Caenorhabditis elegans: one gene and its partners. The protein of the gene in region 1 interacts with the protein of each later gene in a pairwise test. Each region holds a gene or a part of one and is shown on either strand. Other genes may lie near its edges.

Region 1 (3,297 bases):
CAGAGAACGCGAAAGTGACGTCACTTTTTTTACTCTGGAATTCAAAAAAAATCAGTTCTTTTGACCTTTTTTTTGGCCTGATTTTGGCTTTTTGGTCTTTTTGGCCTTTTTTGCGTTTTCCGACTGTTTTATCTGGTTTTTCTTTATTTTTCGTTATGTCACAATTTTAAACAAAATTTATAAAATTTTCAGAAATTTTTCCGTAAAAAACTTGTTGAAACTCTAAAATTAGCCTAAAATCGATAATTTAATTTTTGAAAAACGTTTTTTGTGGAAAAATGTCCGAAAAATTGACAAATTATGTTCCAAATTGTAAAAAATGGAAAAAAAATAAAAAAAACAGCCAGAAAACCAAATTCAAAAAATCAAAAAAAAATTAGAAAATTTTTATAAATTTTTTCACTGTTATATTCTGCCATTTAGAGCAAATTTTTAAAATTTTCAAAACTATTACCTTCGCCTTCGCCTGCCTCGCATGCTCAACTTTCGCCAGCTCCTGGCTCTTCACCTCGAAAACTATTTTATTCCGTTTTTCGAGTATATCTCCGGCTAATTCGAACAATTCGACGCCGAGAAGATCGATGAGCTCGCCCTGTAGATCCATATCGGAACGTGTCGAGCACAACATTTGTAGAAGGTTTTGGGATATTGTCTGAAGGAAAATAGGTTAGAAACTTGATTTTTTAGCCGAAAATCAACCTCAAACGTATCTGGAAAATATATAAGCAATGTGTCAGCAATCGGCTGAAAAATGCTCCCAGAGCCCGAGGTAGAAGGCACTTGGGGTAGGGAAAGAGCTTCTGGAGCTTCTGAAAAACCTTCTTGTTCAGCTTCACAATTCGACCATTCTAGAAATTCCGATGGAAATCGAATTTGAATTTCCTGGTGGAAGCTTGCTACCCGTGATGGTGAGGGTGGATCTGAAAAAACATCTGGTAAAAATTTTTTTAATAAAAAAATGGAAAAAAAGCTAACTAACCATCTCCAATTCGTTCGATATAGTTGAGAAGATCCATTTTGTACCTAGTTTGGCAGCTGTAAAATTAGAATTAAAATTAAAATGAAAAACTATATTTTTCAAGAGAGAAGGATGTTCAAACATTGTTCAAAATTTCGCAATTTTTGAAAAATCGATTTTTTTCTGAAGTTTTAAGTTTTAATTACTTTTAATTTCTATTTTGTTTAATTGCCAAATATTTTTGTTTTTTTCTCTGTTTTAAGGTGAAAATTAATAAAAATGAACAAAATAAGGTCCTGGCCGCTTCCCTTCTCTGACCTAGCGCTTTCTAGGCCAACTGCACTTTTATTTGGCGGTTTTTTATGCAAAAGTGTATTATATTAATTTTTTTCGCAATAAAGATGTGTTTTTAATCATTAAAATAGTTTAAAATGAAGAGAAACATTGAAAATTGAAAGATAACAAAAAATGTTTTTAAAAAAATTCTACAGTACTTTTTAAAGGCGCAGTCCAATTTTTGTATTGATTTTCCCGCCACGATTACTCTTGTGGACTCTTTTTTCGTGCTTTTTTTGTTGTTGGTTATGGTTTTTACTGATTTTTTTTGAATTAAAAATTAAAAAATGACTTTTTTAATTAAAAATTTGTTTCAATTATTTTGAAACCCTCTTGTAAAGCCTTGTAAAACAAGAAAATTGAACTACAGAAGTTTTAAAGGCGCATACTAATCTTCAAAACAATTTTCCTACCACGAAAATAAATGATGACGCGGGAAAACTGAAGAATCGTTAATTTTCTCCGTTTTTCACGAAAAATGTCGGTTTTTTCTATTAAATTCATCCGATTTTCAGATGTCGCTCAACACAACCTTCACCAAAGAGGACGGAACCGAGGTCGTCATCCCATTCAACGGGTCGCAAAATGGGCATCCGGAGAACGAGGAGCCAGAGGTTGAAGAAGCCGCGGAGCCCAGTTCTTCAGTGGAGACACTGTGCGGTGCCACGAGAGGCGACATCATTGTGATGAAGCACACGACGAAGGCGCTCACAGAGTTGATCGAGCGGCTCTTGCACTCGGATGGTGAGAAGCTTTGAAAAATTGCTAAAAGAGATTTTAAGAGGAATAAAACCATATTAATTTCAGAATTCGAAGTCCGTCGCTGCTCAAACGGCCAAATCATCTCACAAGGCCGCTGCAACGGAACAACGCCAGGAAACGGCATCGGAGGCGGCGGGGCATCAAGCGAGGAGCTCGAAAAAGCGCTGAAAGATCGAGATGCCGCCCGTGCCGAAGCCGACAAGCTCCACGCCAACTACGCGACACTGTTCGCCTCGTTCAACACGGTTCGCGAAGCCGCCAACGACATCCGCGGCGAGTACGAGGACGCGAGGGACAAGCTGAAGCTCGCCGCCGCCGAAGTTGACGAGTGGCAGGCAAAGTTCCTCGCCGTCAAGGATAATGCGAATTCTGAGCTTGAGAGGTGAGTGAGAGAAAATTTAATTTGCAACATGTAAGAATATATTTCAATTCAGAGCATCCGTGGAGTACGACGATCTTCTCCGATCCCACGATGAGAACACAAAGGGACTCCGTCTGCGTGTAAAACGCCAGGAAATCGAGCTCTCCAGCAAGAACGACGAGATCAAGGTGCTCACGAACCGCGTGTCGGAGCTCTCACAGATTTGCGATCAACTTCTGAATGATGTCGACGTTTCCGATGGGATGTCCGTTATTTCGACGGATGCATAATTTATTTCTGTAAAATATAATATTTCTTCCCCCCGCCTTTTCGCTTTCCGCCTTATATTTTCTAATTGTACATGAATTTTTCAGCTTATTTATTTGTTTTCCAGATTATTTGTATGAGAAACAAGTACAAAAGGCTTCGTTTCAGTATTTTACCGAGAAAAACTACAATCTTCTAAATTTTCGCGCCAAAGATACAGCGCCCGGTCTCGACACGAAAAACATTTGCCAAATGCAAGCATGTGTGCGCCTTTAAAGTGTACTGTAATTTCCAGGCCGAATTTGTTTTGATTTTTTTAGTTCTCACTTGTTTTTCCAAACAATTTATGCGTTGTTACGAGGTTTTTGTAATAAAAGTCAATAAAATTCCTACAGTAATCTTTAAAGGCGCACACCTCTTTTCAGACTGCCGCATGGATTTTGAGCGAATTTTTTGATTAAAATGTATGCAAAACTTTCAAAATTTCTATTAAAATCTTGCAATTTTCCAGATGAAAAAAGTGGAAATTCTGAAAACATCTCGGCCATCATCTGCAGGAGGCGCTGCCCGACCCTCCACAGCGAGCCCAACTCATGGAGCACCGAAAATCGCC
Region 2 (7,858 bases), 6.3 Mb from region 1:
ATTTTATTTGAAAAAAATCGTAAGAAACTCGAAGTAACTGGGATCAAATACTACAACAATTGTCATGTCCTACGTTGGAAATTTTAAAGAAAACTGTGAATGATTTTTCAACATGTTGTCTAGTTTTGAAATAAAAGAAAAACGTACTTGTACAAAAAATGGAATGTTCTTCGACATCGTCAGAAGAACGACTTTTTCGCTGACTCAACTGACACTGTTTCATGATACATTGTTTTCTTTTATACCGTATGTTTATATGTATGTTATTGTGTTATAGACGAATTTTCGATGAGACAAAATATGTGAAAATTTTTATTTAGAGTCAAAATATTATCTTCGAGTTCACCGTGAATTATATGATATTGCGCCAGAAGCCACCAGCTTTCAGGAACCGTTGGTAGGATAAGAGCCTCCAAGAAGTACGATGGACGTTTTTTTTGTGAGATCCACGTCGAGAGACAACACGAATTAACATAAGCAAAAGTACCATAGGGGTTTTTCATGCTTCTTCTCACGAATTGTTAAAATTTAGATTTTTTTATTCAAAAAAAAAAGGTTTAATAAACGCGTGCTGCATGCAACACTAACTTTCGGGCCCTTTTTTTTACGCGTGCTGCATACAACACTAACTTTCGAGCACTATTAGAGACTGCAGTATTATCAGAAAATAAATATGATGTTTGTAAATTAACAAGAAACCATCAAAAATATACAAAAACACACATTATTAGAGACTGTAGTACTATTGAAGATGCAGCGCTAATAGGAAATATACGGTATTTGAGAAATCGATAGAAAATCTGCAGTAACCAAAGTTTGCAACAACAGTACTCTTTAAAGACGCGCACCTTTTTCATTTATCAAAAATTTGTCGTGTCGAGACCGCACAGCATTTTTGGCGCCAAATTTCCTGTTTTTCTCGCGTTTCAAACGCGTTTTTTAGGCGTAGGCTCATTTTTGTCTTGTTACAAATCAAAAATTTTCATCTCCCGGTCTCCATATCTGAAATTGACCTTGATCGATGGCTTAAGCGCGCGAATTCTCCCTTCCAAAACACTTCTTGTTCATTTTGCATTCGTATTTTTGAAATAAACATTTCTTCGTTGCGCTTTAATTATTTTTAAGACCAAATTTCGCTATTTAACAGAGCTTTTTAGAAAATGTTTCCTTTCTTGTTCAGTACGCAGTTGACAGCCCCGTCGTTTTACGCGCGCGTTGCGTATCAAGCATGCCACTTGACGACATTTTTATTCGAACGCGCGGTAGAAAATAGTTTTGAAAAGCGCAACGGAAACCTTCTCGCTTTCGCACTTTTTCAATGAATATCAGTTGTTCCCATGTGAGCTCATCATTAAATTGTTTAAATAATTTGTCGTCGCAAGTTAAGCTTTTCAGTGTTTGTCGCACAGTGTTAAGCGTTTGTTCGAGATGTTTCGTCCTTTTTTTGAGATTTTGTTTCTTTGTGAAGCACTTCCATTATCTAATTAATCAAATTTATTATCTGCGTAGTGTTTTAGTATTCACTTGGCTCGAACAAAAAGTTGTATAAAGAATTCATTGATTTTTTGTCCTTTCTTTTTTTTTGCCGCGTAGTGCAACTGAGCCGGCCCGTCCGCCTCTGTTTCTCTGTTTGCGCTTCTTTTTGACGGGTTGCGAAATCGGTCGAAAATGGGCTTGCGGCGAAAAAGTTCCATGTGACCCCAATTACCCCTCGCAGTTCGAAAATATTGATTTTTTCCCTCTACGTTCTCCACCGGAAATCTATTGTTGAAATCTCCTTTCTCTTCAAAACTTATTTTCGTTCGCTTTCTTTGTTTATTGCAAGGCACGTAGTAAACTGTCATTTTTCAGATAATGTCCAATTGGGATTATCTGGACGAGGTGGATATCCTTCCCAAACTTCCACCGAACTTCGATGAGCTGCGAGAATCCAAAAAATGGCAGGAACGAAAAGAGGCATTGGAAGCACTTCTCAAAGTACTCACGGACAATGAGCGACTTTCAACAAAAGCTTCATATGCCGAACTTATTGGTCATCTGCAGATGGTTGGTTTTCATATTTTTCGGTCATTTCTGCAATCTCATTTTACAGGTTCTAGCAAAAGATGCAAACATCAATTGCCAAGCGCTTGCAGCCAAATGCATCGGAAAATTCGCAACGGGATTACGTGCAAAATTCTCTTCTTTCGCAGGACCACTTCTTCCCGTCATTTTCGAAAAAATGAAAGAAAAGAAGCCGATGCTCCGAGAACCTCTTGTAGACTGTTCCAATGAAGTCGGCCGTACAATGCAATCTTTGGAAACTGGTCAGGAAGACATTTTGGCGGCGCTGGCCAAACCAAATCCTCAGATCAAGCAACAGACTGCACTTTTTGTGGCTCGGCAGTTAGATTTGGTGGTTCCAGCAAAACAACCAAAAGGATTCATCAAAGCTGTTGTGCCTGTGTTTGGAAAATTGACTGGCGATGCAGATCAAGATGTCAGAGAGGCATCTCTTCAAGGTTTAGGAGCTGTTCAGCGCATCATTGGAGACAAAAACGTTAAAAATCTCCTCGGCGATGCTTCTTCCGATGAAGGGAAAATGAAAAAGATTGGGGAATATGCTGAAAAATCAACCGCTAGCTTCGCAGAAGAACAAGCTAAAAATGCTCCACCAGTCGCTCCCACTTCTTCGACACCTTCGGCAAGTGCTGCTTCGGGAGATCCATCCGGCGGAACAGCAACTGCTGTTGTTTCATCTGGAGCTCCAGTTGCGGAAGCCGATCCTTGGGATTTTCTTGACGCTTTCGACGTACTTTCCAAAATGCCCGACGGTTTTGATACCAACATCGAAAGCAAGAAATGGCAGGAACGAAAAGAAGCGCTTGAAGGTTTGCTTCAATTGATCACAGCGAATCCGAAGCTCGACCCAAAGGCAAACTATGGCGCACTCGTTGAGAGATTGCAGAAGGTATGTGTATTTTGTCCTGAAAAATTATTTTAAATTCAAATATTAAGGTCCTCGAGAAAGATGCAAATATCAATGTGGCTGCACTAGCGGCCAATTGTATAACTGGTATTGCTAATGGTCTCCGTACGAAGTTCCAGCCGTTTGCTGTGTCTGTGACTCCAATCATTTTTGAGAAGTTCAAAGAGAAGAAACCAACTCTACGTGATCCGCTGGTTGCTTGCATTGATGCAGTTGTTGCAACCACAAATCTCGAAGCAGTTGGAGAAATCGTACTCGCAGCGCTCGGAAAACCAAATCCAAGCATTAAGACTCAAACGGATCTTTTCCTTCAACGATGCTTCATGAAACTGAATTCACAGACCATGCCGAAGAAGACTTTGAAGACGCTGATCCCGTCGTTGATAAAACATTCTGGTGATTCGGATTCGGAAGTTCGTGAAGCATCATACGCTGCAATGGGAGCAATGATGAGAGCCATTGGAGAAAAACCTTCTCTGCAACTTCTCGCCGATATTGCATCGGATAATCTGAAAATGAGCAAAATCAAGGAGTTTCATCAGAAGGCGTTGGATGAAGCTGGGCCCGCAGAGATTGCTGAAATGGTCAAATCGATTCACAAAGCAGATGTGAGTTATTTTATTATTATTAACCAGCCGCTGACCGCGCCTACGGCGCGGGCAACGCCTGGCACCATTAAAAGTATTTGACACACATACCTTCAATCACTCAAAAAATTTCTCATCATGAAAAAAACTTGAAACACTTAAAACGCGGTTTACTGGCACTGTTACATGTATGTATTTTTCTACGACATGCATGTTTCAAAAATTCACAGACAGTATGAAAACTTTCTGTTATTTTTTGACCAAGACAGTAACCTTACAATACCACTACAGTACCTTGACATTATCCTCCACCGACTCCTAACCCAATACCTCTTCAAAGGACGAAATGCCAATTTTTCCAAAACTACAGTAACCCTACCGTATACCTACAGTACCCCTATAGTAACACTACAGTACCTTGACTTGATCCCCCATAAACTCCCGAATAACTACCTCTTCTAAAGCTCTAAGCTCAATTTTTCGGAACATTCCAGAATTTTCTCGATTTTTCTAGAAAGTTCTGGAACATTACAGAAATTTCTCGATTTTTCTAGAAAGTTCTGGAACATTCCAAAAATTTCCCAATTTTTCTAGAAAGTTCTGGAACATTACAGAAATTTCTCAATTTTTCTAGAAAGTTCTGGAACATTCCAGACTTTTCCCAATTTTTCTAGAAAGTTCTGGAACATTCCAGACTTTTCCCAATTTTTCTAGAAAGTTCTGGAACATTACAGAAATTTCTCAATTTTTCTAGAAAGTTCTGGAACATTCCAGACTTTTCCCAATTTTTCTAGAAAGTTCTGGAACATTCCAGACTTTTCCCAATTTTTCTAGAAAGTTCTGGAACATTCCAGAATTTTCTCGATTTTTCTACAAAGTTCTGGAACATTCCAGAATTTTCTCGATTTTTCTAGAAAGTTCTGGAACATTCGAGAATTTTTTCGAAATTTCCAGAAGATTCTAGATTTCCAGAATTTTAGAATTTTCAGAAAATTTAAATTTCCCGCAAAAATATTTTTCACAGAAAACTTAAATTTCTCGCCGAAATATTTTTCTCAGAAAATTTAAATTTCCCGCCAAAATATTTTTCACAGAACATTTAAAATTCCCGCCAAAATATTTTTCACAGAAAATTTAAATTTCCCGCCAAATTATTTTTCACAGAAAATTTAAATTTCCCGCCAAAATTTTGGGTCTTACCACGACGGGTCTCACCACGGTGGGTATTACCACGATGGGTCTCACCACGACGGGTCTCACCACGGTGGGTCTCGCCACGATGGGTCTCACCACGATGGGTCTCGCCACGATGAGTCTCACCGCGAAGGATGACAGACCCCGCCCACAATTCTCAGTGACTTTGGGTGTGACGTCACAGACTACAAAGACTACATAGACTACAAACTATGGAACAAACGGAATTATTTTTTTATATATAAGTAATGATAGTATTTAGAAGTATTCACTGATGATTTTTGTACTGCTTATTTGTAATTTTATTGTGAATGTGTTGTCAAATTTAGGCTCCGCCAGCTGCTGCACCACCGAAAAAAACAGCTCCACCGAAGAAACAACCGGAAGATGAGGAAGTGGTCGAGGAAGAGGATGAGGTGATTAAAATTGTGTTCTTATTTCCATATAGTAATTTGTATCGATTGTGTGGTCGTTTAAAACTGAAAACTTACAATTTTTTATTATTTTTTTTTCAGCCCCTGAAACCACCACCAGGCGATAAGAAGAAGAAAGTTCCCGTGAAGGAGAACGAAGAAAACGAGCCTCCCGTTGTTGCACCAAAAGCCGAACTTTTGCTCAGTGACAACGAGGATAAAAAGCAACGAATCAAGGAAGAGAAGCAATTAAAAGTAATTGCTTTAAATGAGTTAATAATCATACATTCTAATTAATTTGCAGTTAGTCAAATGGAATTTCCAAGCTCCGACTGATGAACATATCTCGCAACTTCAAACCCTGCTCGGAAACCAAGCGAAAGTGTCTCTAATGAGTCAACTTTTCCACAAAGATTTCAAGCAGCATCTTGCGGCTCTTGATTCTCTGGTTCGCCTTGCCGATACATCTCCTCGATCTCTTCTATCCAACAGCGATCTTCTATTAAAATGGTGCACTTTGCGATTTTTCGAGACCAACCCGGCCGCACTTATCAAAGTTTTGGAATTGTGCAAAGTTATTGTGGAGCTAATTCGGGATACAGAAACTCCAATGTCACAAGAAGAGGTGTCTGCATTTGTTCCATACTTGTTATTGAAGACAGGAGAAGCCAAAGACAATATGAGAACTTCTGTCAGGGATATTGTCAATGTACTTTCAGATGTTGTCGGTCCACTCAAGATGACACCCATGCTACTTGGTATGAGAGAAGAAGATCAATAATGTTCTAGTAATTTTTATTTTCAGATGCGCTGAAGTCGAAAAACGCTCGCCAACGTTCCGAGTGTCTGCTAGTCATTGAATACTACATTACAAATGCTGGAATAAGTCCGCTGAAATCGTTATCAGTCGAAAAAACAGTTGCTCCATTTGTTGGTGACAAGGATGTCAACGTCCGAAATGCTGCTATCAATGTTCTCGTGGCTTGTTTCAAATTTGAAGGTGATCAAATGTGGAAAGCAGCAGGAAGAATGGCAGATAAGGACAAGTCGTTGGTTGAGGAAAGAATAAAACGAACAGGAGTGAAACCGGGATCTGGTGTTGTCACCTCGCCGCCAACTGGAGGACCCAAAATTTTAGTGCCACAACAACAGGTTAGTTGTTTAAAATATTTCTCGTAATGAGTCAGGTTCCCTGAAAGATCACTTGAATCGGCCATACAGTCTTACGAGTTGGAAGTAAATAATATTTTTTTTTGTCTCAAATATTTGGAGTTAGTAGTGATTCCCTATTCGATACCCACGCGAAGTTTCGTTCAGTTTTTAGAAAACGAAAAATTACATGTTTTTCAGGGTTCGGTTGTTCGTCGTCCTGCTTCTCGATCTCGTACTCGTGAACCTGAACCAGAAGAAGTTCAAAGCGACACCTTCACTATACGACAAGACACAATGCCTCCAAAAACTTCATCTCGCTATGCACTTCGTGACGACGTCTTTTCGTCAGCCATGGGCCGTCTTGATGGCACTCAAGTCATCACTCCACCACAACCTGTCAATGGCTGGTCAAACAATACCTTCCAAATGAAGCGGACCAATTCTTCATCGTCGATTTCCTCCATAGACACTTCTGATCAAATCCAAAGAAGCATCAACAATATTTCGAGCAGTCTTGCAGATGTTGCTCAAGATGCTATGTTCCAGGTCACTTATGTTCTTAATCAACCTGAACAACGTCATCTTGTTGATCGACGTGCCGATTTGGTGTTTCGTGCATCTGCTGCTCAATTAGATTTGGTGATTGAAGAATTCAATGCTGGACGAGATGTCAGTGGAACTATGGACGCTTGTACGCAAATGCTTTTCATTGTAAGTTATATTTTTCATATGTCATAGTAATCAAGGGGAGTTCCGAAATATATCTGGCTCTCTTTGTTTCATTTAGTCATGCCATGTATATGTATATATCCAAATTTATCTTTTCAGTTGATGGGAGGAGTCGAAACTGAGCACGGCCTTGAGCCACTTAATGCGTCCCCCGACACAGTCAAAGCCATCATCTCTTCGGTCCTCAGATGTATCATCCAAATCGGTAACACAGAGTCCGGATACGGAATGGCAAGATCTCTCAATCGACTGGCAATGCGATTAATCTACAGAGTTGAGCTGTCTAATCTGTTGTGCGGATTGATTCTGGCAATGACTGAATCACTTCAAATGAACACCGGTATAACCGAACTTGTGTCGAAGCTCTCGTCGAAATGGTGTGATGAACTTGAAAAGAGAAGAGCTCAACTGAGAGCCTCGGATATAGTCGACTCATTCAATGCTTTCTACGTTTGTGCACTCACAGAACTTAAAATGGACATCAGCGATTCACACATTTTGATAGTTGATAACTATTTGGAGCGGGTTATCCTTCAGCAAGGAGACGTCGTCTTGGATGCTGCCCGTCGTCTTTCTCGACCACATATGCACTTGACCAGTATGATCAACAAGATTTTACAAATGATGAGAGAACGAAAAATTGATCCTATCATGCCTGGAACATTGGAAGCCAGAATGCCACAAGAGGATGAAGCAGTTGTAGTGCGAAGCGGCGTTCAAGTTTCGATCGACAATATTCTGCGTGATACCTCGATGGCAGTTAAACATATTGAGCAACTGAATATTCTCATTGCATCCAGTGACCGATCTTGGAA
Region 3 (4,934 bases), on another chromosome or scaffold:
GTTAGTTCGACATTTTCTATCGAAAACTTTGCATTCGTGGTTGGTGTTGGCATCAAGTGGATTAGCCTATTAGGGTCAAGAGAAGAGGATCTCGCCAATTTTATCGAGTTTTATATTGCCAGTTGTTTCGTTGTGTGTCTCCTCGCCTTTCGATTTTACACAAAATCGCTAGTTTTACAGAAAACATTCTGAAACAATAGGTGTAGACCAAATTGTTTCGTACTCCGTAGTTTTCTAAGTCCATTCATCTTTCTGCGAGGGACCAATTATCCAATGGAGATTCTTCTTCGCCTTCGAGTTGTAATACTCGTTCCGTTGTACTTTCGTTTTTGCCGACGAGAGCACGTGATGGCTCATTTCGGTTTGATCTACGTAGATCTTTAAAAAATGCGGGAGAAGAGTCACATTTTTTGGGCAAAATTGCAGCATTATTTGTAGATCAAACCTTAATCGGAAAGCCTCGCACCACATACGAGAGCTAAAAATTGCTTTAGCTTGGCTTTATATCGAAATTGGTTTAGCGTCATCTATCTTGGAAAGTTTTCAGTATAGCTCGATTTTTCTGAAATCGAAATTGTCGAAAACTTTGAAAAAATCGTTGATCGCTATAATTGCTGATTCCTGTGCAAATTTCGATAGCTTTAATGCAACAAACTCGCATAAATAAGTTTTTCGTTCCAAATTCCACAAAGTATCGCTTTTCCGACCTTCCCACGTTTTGGAACGTCAAGAACCTTCTTGGAGCTTCTAGTTTCATACAATTCAGCTCCAAATCACGCTAATCTTCCGTAGAAACTTTATGATACGGGGGTGAGGTGTGAAAACCCTCCTTACCGCCTAATCACTTTCTCTGGGGTGCGTCGTTCTGGAGACAATATTTGTTAACTGACTGATCAGTGTGCGCGGCGGAAATATGTGTTCCATCCTTCCGCGCAACTGTCAGCTTTTCGCGAGATTGCTCAAAACGCACCTTCGGGAGTCGACCAGTTGTTGTCTTCTGCACAGCGGGGAGGAATGGACGTTTAGTTCCACACCAGGTCTCTCTCTCTCTCTCTCTCTCTCTCTGTCTCTCTCTGTCTATCTCGAATTTTATTATACAACACTACAATCTGATGGGCAAACAGGGAGGTGATGGAAGAGGAGGAGGAGGAGACGAATGAGGTGTGACGTCGTCCCGGTGGTAACAGCTGTGCAGAGTTTTATGATTTTGTTGAAAAGATTTGTACTTTTTCGAATTGAGTGTAAGAATCTAGATAATTCGGAAAAATTTGCTTTTCCAGAAAGCGATTTTATCGCAATTTCTAAAAATCTTTTACTGTCAGCACAAACTTTCAAACTTCGTAATCTTTGAGACTGTCGATTTACGCAGCTCGTGTACTCCGTGAGAAGAAGTGTGCATTTATTTTTTTATAGTTTTGATCTAAAATTCTCGATTTTTGGTGTTTTTTCGCAAAGCATCTTGTATCAATTTCTCTCTTATTCATGCTCAATGCTAAAAAACTTAAATAAACACCATTTTAGTTTATAAAATATTTACATTAAAAAATAAGGAAATTTGAAAAAAAAATACACAAAAAATTAGCGAAAGTGGCCCAAAATTAAGCATTTTAGCCCGAAAAGTTGTGAATTTCTTATAAAAAAATCAAATTCTCCTCCAAATTTTTATTTTTTAATGCTAAAATCAAAAGGGAACTTTTCGAATAAATTTACGGTGCTGAAGTGTTTTTTTGTTGCTTCCGCTTGTGAATATTTTGAAAATAAACTCACCTCCATCACGTGTTTATATAAACACTCTGATGGTCATTGTTGAATTCGTCATCGAAATATTATACCTCTTGACACCTTTTCTATACTTTTTCAAACGTTTTTTATTCTACAATCATCTCGTTTTCAGAGTGATGGCGAAGGTGGCGTCGTCGGGAGCCGAAGAGGCACTGGCCACCATTGATGGAGCCCCTCGCCGGAATGTCAAAAAGTCCGAGGCTTTTGTAATGTCCGGTGATGTGCTCATTTCTCTTAATCGGAACGTTTCGAGCACTTATGCAAAGGTTTGGATTTGATTTTTAGAAAAAATTAAAAATTTCAAATGTTTTTCTTCCAAAAAATAGCAAAAATTTTGGTTTTTGGAAAATGTATACAGTTGAACTTTTCTCATTTTTCCAGCTCTCGGTCATTAAAATGTTCCAAAGACCTTTTTGAAGAATTAAAAAAAAAACTATTTTTCAATATATTTTTTTTCTGAAATAATGCTCTGCGATTTGAGGCCTCAAACTGAAATTTCTTTTCAAAATTTTTTTTAAAAATTTTTTAGGCATAAAAGTTGTGGTTTTCCAATAAATTTAAAATGCCCTCATCTTTTCATCCCTCCCTCCTGAGTGAAAAAAAGTGTTTCTTCTTAACCTTTTCCCTTCTTTTTTCAGCTTCTCGGCGACCAACTGCCTCCAGGTACCACAGTTGCATCGAGCATTCACCCACATCAGCTGTCAAGAGCCACCGCCTCTGCGGGAGTTTCGTTTCCATCGATGAATCGAAACGGAGCGGCGGCCCAGAAACTGTCAAGACTTCCAGGTAACACTTTACGGCTTTTGCGAAAAAAATGTGAGAAATTCTCCAAAAAAAGCTGAGATTTCCGTAAAAATCGCTTGAAATTTTGCAAAATTAAAAAAAAAAGCATTTTATACTCAAATTGGCTTAAAAGTTATATATAATGTGCCCGAAGTTCCAGTTCCGACGAAAAATACAAAAAAAATTGTGAAAAATTTTTCTGAAAGCTTAAAAAAGGTGCAAGTGTCAGCAGAACAGCTTACCTGAAAACTTTATATTTAATTTCTGAAAAAATTCTCTGAAAACTCTGAAAACTATAAAAAAAAAGCTGAAAATTTGGAATATTCGGCTCAATTTATAGAAATCACTTGAATATTAGCTCTAAAAAATTAGAAAAAACTGTTTTCCATAATTTTCTATCTTTTAATTCCAATGTTCTAAAAGTTCCAGTTTCAACAAGCCAAATCGAAAGACGTGGTAGTTTGGCACGAAAAACGTCAGAAGAGTCTTCACCAACAGCTATTCGAATGCTTAAAACAGCTCCAATTGAACGAATGGAGAGCACTGATGTAGAGGAAAGTGAAGAAGAAACTGTAATGATGACTACTGATGAAAAAGAGAATCAGAAGAAACCAAATGAAAATGATGATGAAGTGATGGTTGTTGATGAAGAACAATTTATTGGTGAGCTTTTGAAATTTTTAAACGAAAAAAAAATGAAACATCTGGATTTAATTGGATGCAAAAAGTTTTCGAAAAGAAGAAGAAGAAATCTCACAATTTTTACGATTTTCCATTGATTTTTAACCCTTTTTTCTAAACAGAAAAATTGTTTTTATAAAATTTCTAGAAATTAAAACATACCGATAAAAACATATGGCTAATTTTTTTCAAAAAAAAGAAACGCTCACGATCTTGATGACTAATTGCATGTTTTTGTCCTGATAAATCAGAATGTTTGCAATTTGTTTTGCAATTTTCTTACCAAGTTTTTAGTCCTTAAAACACGGACAATTGAAATTTTTTTCAAATTAAAGTGTTTTAAAATCGAAACAACTGATTTTTCCATATTTTTGGATTAAAACTTGAGGTTTTATAATTCAAACAATATATTTTCCAATTTATGGTTTTTTTTTCAATAAAAGTGTTTTTTAAAAAAATAATTGCTAACCTAAATCAACAAACTAGATCACCAAAATATACAAAAAATGAAAAAAAAACTGATTCCCTGCCTCTGACACTGAAAAGTTTTGCGAAATTCTAAACTTAAGCAATATTTAGCCCTTTTTTGGAAATTTCCGCCCCCAAAAAACTGAAATTTTGAAAAATCTCCTTATGATGTTCGGCCGTTTCTAGCCATTTTCAGTCTACTTAAGTATGAAAGCCAAAAAATCGGAAAATTCTTTTAAGTCCCTCTACTCTTTAGAATAGCTTCGAATTGCACAAAATTCGAAGAAAAACCCGAAACAAATTTCATTTCTAGAATGCTTTCCCGGAGGCGATCGGCACAGTTATAATAGGGAATGTTTTCTGTCTCTCTATCTATCCTTTTTCCACCGCCACCACATTTTTTTCTATCAATTTCCATTCACACATTTTTATTTGCGTTAGCACCCTCCTCCTCAGGCCACCCGGTAGTACTGTGTTTTTCTGTTGTGTTGAATGTTCTCTCACTTGACTGCACACTAACATTTTTATCCGTTTAGAGGTTGTTTAGCACTCATTTAAGAGGGTTTTAGGTTGAAACTTGGGGTTTTTGCTTGAAATTTGAGATCTTTATGGAAAAAATCGAGCTATAAAGTGCTAGAAAACTTAAAATAGAAATTTAAAGATTTTATAAACATTTAATTTTAAATTTTAACCAACGAAAAGTTGCTGAAAAATAAGCTGAAAAACGCTAACAAAATAAATTTAGTTTTTGAAATTTGAATATTTAAGAAAAATCTAGATTTCTGTTAGAAAATATTGCTCTCTTATTTTGAAAAAAATCAGTTTTCCTGCCGATTTTTTTCAAAAAATTATAAAATACATTTTCCAAGAACACATCAACGTATTTAATTTAAATATTATTTAAAATGGCATAAATTTCGCACTTTTCACATTGAAAACTTTTTTGTTCAGTAGTATCAAACGACATGAAATCTCCGAACGAGGAGATCGTTGCAAAAAGTCTTCGTAGTGCAATGTTCACAATGCCAACTGATAATCATCATCATTCGTACAATTCGTCACCACAAATATCCACACTTTCACCACATCTTCGATCGAATGGAGGTAACCTTTTTTGCTGGATTTTTTTTAGAAAAAATGAAATTGTGTGTGCTTTTTTTTTCAAATTTTACACTAAAAGCTACCGAAAAATGTTATTACTTTTCTACGGAAATATTTAT
Region 4 (5,538 bases), on another chromosome or scaffold:
ATGGCAAATTGCCGAAATTGAAAAGTTTTGGCAAATCGGCAGATTGCCGGAATTAAAAATTTCGGGAAAACCGACAAATCGCAGGAACTGAAATTTCCGGCAATTGGCCGGAATCGAAAATTTCCAGCAAATCGGCAAATCGCCGGGAGTGAAAATTTCCGGCAAATCGGCATCTTTCCAAAATTAAAAACTTCCAGAAAATCGGCAAATTGTCGGAATTGAAAATTTCCGGCAAATCGACAAATGGCCGGAATTAAACATTTCCGGCAAACATAATTTGCTCTTTTTTGGAATTGCGGTATGTTGTTTTATCTTTTGGATACGGGTTTCAATCAATAAACACCATTAAATTTTTTTTCTGAAAAGACGTCAACAAAACCAACACGCACAAAACACTTTTCTAACCTGAAAAATTCCGTGTGACCGAACAAAAATTCATTGCAAAAACTTTTAATTTCAGACTTCCTCCTCACGAAATGCGCTAAACTCGAAATTCTTGAAATAGTTTTGATAACAAGTAACATATTTATAAGATCGATTGTGATGAGAAAAAAACAGTTTAAAAAAAACATGAAATTGAACTAAAAAGATAATAATCAAAGTTATCAAGAACGTTTAAAAAATTGGCTCAGGCTTTGGATCCATGAGCAACTCTTCCGGCTTCTTTTCCATGTGCGTTGGCGGAATATGTTTTGGCTCACTCGGTGCGGCGGCCACTTGTTTCGCAAGGTGAGGATTTCGGTTTCTCACAACTTTAATCATGCGTCTTGGTGAGGCAGATGTTGGCTGATTTAAGAGATCCGTTTTATTCTCTACCGATTTTCTTGTTCGGTAACTCATTGAACCAAATGCAGTCGTTAACATTCTTCCTAGACGGACCGCTGGTTTCTCTACGTTCGTTTTGGTTGGTGGTTTTTTTTCAACGGGGCTCGAAGATTCCACGTGGGTAGGTTTGTTTTGAAGAAGCGTAGGTACTAATTCTTCTTCTTCTTCTTCCTTTTGAGGCGCCCCAAATGATTGACGTATTCCCTCCATCTCGGATGAGCTTGATGAGTCTGTGGACGTAGAAGGCTGGTTTTGTGCACGTGGCGCTGTAGTCAATGCGTCTTTAAGAGTATTAGTGCGAAGAACGACATTCCCTTGAACTACAACTTTCGGAGGTCCGGTTCCGTTTTCAAAACGCAAGTATTTCTTTCCATTGACAACACAGAACTTTAGTGGCGCAGATGGCGGAGTGGGGGAGCTTGGCTTCTCACCAAATGCATTACGAGCATAAGAAACTTTGGATTTGTGCAAAAGCGCCTCGTCGGCAATTGAATGACCTTCCAAAACACGCGTTGCTAGGTGAACATAGTCAATTGGAGTTTTCGTTTTTTTTGCGTTCCATGAGATACTCGATGATCCAGCATCATCCTGTTCAGGCGAATGAAGCTTTCGCTTTCTGCGTTCTACAGTGTTCTGCATCTCACTTTGATTGGGAATATACGGTTCACTAGGTGCATCTTCACTGTGATCTCGATAAGCTTTTGCAGCTGCAGCAGCAAACTTGTTGTCAAGAATATCCTCGATTTTCCGTCTCCGAGATGTGAAACGATTATCTTTCCCATTGATGAGTTGAATGAGTTCTTGCTTATCAGCATCACTGAGGCTAAGATTATGATTCAGCAACTCATTTAGATTCGTCGATGGAGGCACCTTAAACGAATAATTTTTTAAATTTTTTTAAAATTTTCACAAGTGTCACAAGACTCACCGATTGCAAAAGCGCAACCAGCTCTGAGAACGGTTTGGGAGACGGTTTACTGAGAGACCCATTGACCATCCTTGGCACGTGGTTACGGTAATAAGATTTAATGGAATTCTTGAATGAGTAAAGCGGAGTGTTCGACGTAACCTTCCCTTTGTGCAGGTCGCCGACTCTCTTAAAACATTTCACCGTTGTAGAACAACGAGATATGACAATCAAACCTTCAGTGCTCTATAGATATCATGGCCACGCATCAATCTGTCCGGTGGCATCTCATTGATCTCGCTTTCCGTTTTAGCTTCAAAGGCGTCGCACATCATTTCGTACTGAAAAAGTGGTGTATGGTTTTTTTTAAACTAAAATCTCTAAACTAAAAGGGGGCAGGATAGCTCAGTCGGTAGTGGTGGCCGCTAGCAATCTGGAGGTCACAAGTTCAAGTCCAACCTCACCACCTAGGTTTTCATCCAGCCTCTATTGGTAAGTAGAGCAGTCCACGATAGGATTATCGGCCACAGTCCCCGGCTAGGACGTGGCTTAAATTATAACTCAGTGGGAGCACCACCTGAATCCCAGATCCGTAGTGCATAGGACTTGAAGAACGGATCGTCCTTTAATTCTTGTTTTCTAGTCTAATGTATTAATATCGATCACATATATAAAATAAAATAGAGGTTGTACTAAACAAAACACCAAAAATTTTGAACTTTTGCCATGAAAATTATAAATAAAATTAATAACTTTTAAATTAGAATTTATGTTCTAATCAGCTTTAGAAAAGTTTTCACAGCTTTTCAAACTTAACTATTTTGAAAAAAATACTGAACAACTTACTACAAAATCAACATGATCATAGCACATCCTTAGCCTCTCATGACGAATCGCTTTCTCTGCAGTTGCCATTCTAAAGTGGCCAGACATCACTGCCGCCATCAAAACTTTCACAGCTTCGTTATCAGTCATTGCAATGCTTTCTCGCATTAAAAGAGCCTTCTCGCAGAGTATGCACGGAGTCAGATAGGTACAATACGTGTAGTCACTCGGTTGAGATCCCTCTCGTGTGGCACGGGGTTTCGAGGGGCTGGGTTCACTTGGAAAGTGTGAAAAAATTTCCGCGCTACTTTTGAATTGTCCCTTGCTTGCAGCCGCCGTCAGAACATCCTTCACGCTTTGCGTTGGTGTTGAGTTTGGAATTGTATTCGCAAAATGCTTCATGATCGAAGCAGACTCAGCTGATTGTTCTTCAGTTGCTGAAGCTTTTTTCTCTTGGAGCTGAAACCATATACGCATTATTATGAATAATCTTCAAACATTTCTGCTTACCAATCGAACAGATTCCATTGACTGGGTAGGTGTTTGTATTGTCTTGACTTTTGGAATTGTCTTTTTTTCAGCTTGTACATTGGAGTTTGGCTGAAACATTGAAGATAGAACACTTCTTATTCAACCTTATCATGATTCAAAACGACCGAATATCATAATAAAACACTCCAAAAATTTTTAGATCTTTCATAATTTCCAGTCAAAGTTTTGGCATATTGCCAAAACTATGAAAAATATGAGCTTTTGAGGAAATCCACAGCAATGTCGCATGTTCCGACCCCAACAATGTTTTAATACAAGTAGGCAAAACAAAATTGCATTTTAAATGTAGGAGAACATTTTTTTGTCGACTTCCAAAATTATGATTGGCAAACACTGAATGATTGTCACTTTTTGACAGTAAATAAAAAATTTTCAAAAAATGTTTGAAAAGTTTTATTTTGATATTTGGTCCTTTTGGCACTAAAGGAGTAGTTTTTAACAATTTCCCCACTGGCGCTACTCCACCTTTAACTAGATATATCAGAAAATGGGAGAAAATCCTTAAAAAGCCATACCTCTCTTTTGACACCAACAACAACTGCGGCAATTGGGTTGAAATGCCGGACGAGCTCCTGGAAACATGTGAGCTGCAGAGCATCCGTTCCAATGCCGGCACTTTTAACAAACTTCATCGCTAGGGCATTGCATTTCTTGTTGAAAGCCATCCGATCGTTCGCCAAGCTTGACATTCGCATAGCATCAACGTTTTTCATTCGAAATTTTCTTTTCGCAATGATTTCTTCTTTTTCATCTGCCGAGACAACATCTTTAGCTGGAGCCGCTGGAGCCAACATTAGGAATCTGAATAAGTGATAGTGTATGATAAGCAAGATAGGAAAGTAAAGGAAAATTGTCATTTGGTGATGTGAAACCATTTGGAAAGAATTAGAAAAAAACCAGTTGGCATCAAATTTCGGTGAACATTTATAAAACTGATATAAAACTACAAAATATAAAAATGATGAGATCATCTCATCATTGTGAGGTTTCAGATGAATGATGATTAAAATAAATAGGTAAAATAAAAGTGGTAATTTTAAGGGCAATCAAAGTAACAGGGTAAAACTATGCGTATGACTTAATCATCAAAAACATCAATGGAGAAAAAATTATATATAAAAACAACAATCAGGAACGGTGGATGAAAATATTTCCACTTATTCGTTGCTGGGTGGTGTGGGGGTTGGCAGCTTATTAGCATCTTTGCGCGGTCGTCCGACTGGCTGAAAAAATATAAAAATAATTCAAAGCATATATTTTTCAAAAACTCACTCTTCCAGCAATCTTGGGCTTTTTAACAATTGGAGATTCTTCATACTCTTCCTCCTCCTCTTCCTCATCAGCAAAAGCAAAGCTTCGTCTAGCAACAGCTTGTCGAATCAATCTTCCACTTGGTGTTTTTTCAGGCACGTATTCGCAATCTTCGCCGACAATTTCTCCGTCTTCGAGTTGTACGTAACCTTTCTTAAGTGCACGTCGTTGAGATGTTCCCGGATTGTAGTCGTAGTCGGTGAGGCTTTTTTCAGCTTCTGGTGTTACACTATTCTTGGGATACTTCCTTGGGCGCCCTCTTGGGTTCGGAGTATGAGCAGGTGGTGTTACCAAGTTAAGAGGTCCATCCTCGTTTGACAACTCCCGCTTTCTATAGGTACGTTTTATCACTGGAGCATTGTTGTAAACTGCTGCTTGACTGGGCTCGTCGTCTGAAGTCTCTTCCGTTGGGGATCTTGACATTTCTTCATATTCCTCTTCTTCTTCTTCTTCCTGAGTATATTCAACACCGTCGGGGTTTAACATATTCGCCAAATCAATGGCTGAATTCTTATCAGTTCCAGACTTGCGCTCTTTGAGTTTGAGGAAGTTGTTCCCTTGAATGATATACGTGGTCTCAACTTTTTCTGGAGCAGCATCTGGAATCATTCCTTTCAAAAGTCTACCACGACTGCTGAACGCTGCATCTGGGAAATGGCTTCGGCAAATTAGGTTTTCCGTATTGGTGTGAAGTCGGGCTTCAAATTCTGGTCCAAGCTTATCCACCCATCTAGCCAAACGTTCCTCACTTCTCGGGACACGAAGCATTCCACCTCGGTCGCCACGTTTCGAACAGAAGCAGCAAACGCCCGGATTGTCGCATTCCTCATTTTCAGACGGTTTGACAGTTGGGAGCTTGAAATCTTCCTGCTCTATAACCTTGACAGTTCCGTCATGCTGATCAGCTTCCAGAACTTGCTTGCGTGGCTGGCGAAAGAGTTTCGGTATGATTTCTTGCTCATCCACATCGTTTCTCTCTGGCTCAGGTTCGGGCTCGCGGTAGTCAAAGTATTGTTGTCCAAGTTTCTTCAATTCCTAAAAACAATTAATTTGTTTCAAAATGTGCAATTTTAAAAACGGAAACTTACCGCTGGCGTTTCACGAAGATGATTATTTCT

Evidence for each region.
Region 2: the proteins of tac-1 (region 1) and zyg-9 interact in binary tests that used the Caenorhabditis elegans proteins (3 or more experiments, as listed by UniProt).
Region 3: the proteins of tac-1 (region 1) and efa-6 interact in a two-hybrid assay, tested with the Caenorhabditis elegans proteins (one study listed by BioGRID).
Region 4: the proteins of tac-1 (region 1) and lin-15A interact in a two-hybrid assay, tested with the Caenorhabditis elegans proteins (2 studies listed by BioGRID).

What each region holds. Positions count from the first base shown.
Region 1 is NC_003280.10:14,752,388-14,755,684, reverse strand, and holds tac-1 (Transforming acid coiled-coil-containing protein 1), read left to right. Parts: upstream 1-1,807; 5' UTR 1,808-1,809; coding exon 1,810-2,038; intron 2,039-2,101; coding exon 2,102-2,438; intron 2,439-2,490; coding exon 2,491-2,707; 3' UTR 2,708-2,794; downstream 2,795-3,297. Other genes in the region: Y54E2A.4 (Activating signal cointegrator 1 complex subunit 3), read right to left, coding at 455-652, 700-920, 980-1,016; smg-9 (Nonsense-mediated mRNA decay factor SMG9), read left to right, coding at 3,196-3,297. UniProt on the Caenorhabditis elegans protein: Involved in microtubule formation, polymerization and assembly, regulating microtubule nucleation and length. Plays a role in pronuclear migration and mitotic and meiotic spindle elongation during early embryogenesis.
Region 2 is NC_003280.10:8,455,967-8,463,824, forward strand, and holds the start of zyg-9 (Zygote defective protein 9), read left to right. Parts: upstream 1-1,851; 5' UTR 1,852-1,854; coding exon 1,855-2,046; intron 2,047-2,092; coding exon 2,093-2,950; intron 2,951-2,997; coding exon 2,998-3,576; intron 3,577-5,078; coding exon 5,079-5,165; intron 5,166-5,264; coding exon 5,265-5,417; intron 5,418-5,466; coding exon 5,467-5,920; intron 5,921-5,967; coding exon 5,968-6,314; intron 6,315-6,512; coding exon 6,513-7,025; intron 7,026-7,142; coding exon 7,143-7,858. Other genes in the region: F22B5.6 (Serpentine Receptor, class J), read right to left, coding at 148-177. UniProt on the Caenorhabditis elegans protein: Plays a major role in organizing microtubules and spindle poles during mitosis and meiosis in one-cell stage embryos. Required for default nucleus positioning in oocytes.
Region 3 is NC_003282.8:12,611,684-12,616,617, reverse strand, and holds the start of efa-6 (Exchange factor for Arf-6), read left to right. Parts: upstream 1-1,893; 5' UTR 1,894-1,898; coding exon 1,899-2,048; intron 2,049-2,420; coding exon 2,421-2,568; intron 2,569-2,988; coding exon 2,989-3,228; intron 3,229-4,665; coding exon 4,666-4,818; intron 4,819-4,934. UniProt on the Caenorhabditis elegans protein: Guanine nucleotide exchange factor for arf-6. Involved in response to injury in mechanosensory neurons. Inhibits axon regrowth via microtubule dynamics, possibly by inducing axonal microtubule catastrophes.
Region 4 is NC_003284.9:15,730,340-15,735,877, reverse strand, and holds lin-15A (Protein lin-15A), read right to left. Parts: upstream 3,911-5,538; 5' UTR 3,904-3,910; coding exon 3,625-3,903; intron 3,158-3,624; coding exon 3,068-3,157; intron 3,017-3,067; coding exon 2,579-3,016; intron 2,074-2,578; coding exon 1,969-2,073; intron 1,922-1,968; coding exon 1,754-1,921; intron 1,696-1,753; coding exon 616-1,695; 3' UTR 513-615; downstream 1-512. Other genes in the region: Protein lin-15B, read right to left, coding at 4,267-4,332, 4,382-5,455, 5,509-5,538. UniProt on the Caenorhabditis elegans protein: Synthetic multivulva (synMuv) class A protein. SynMuv proteins are required to repress the induction of vulval development.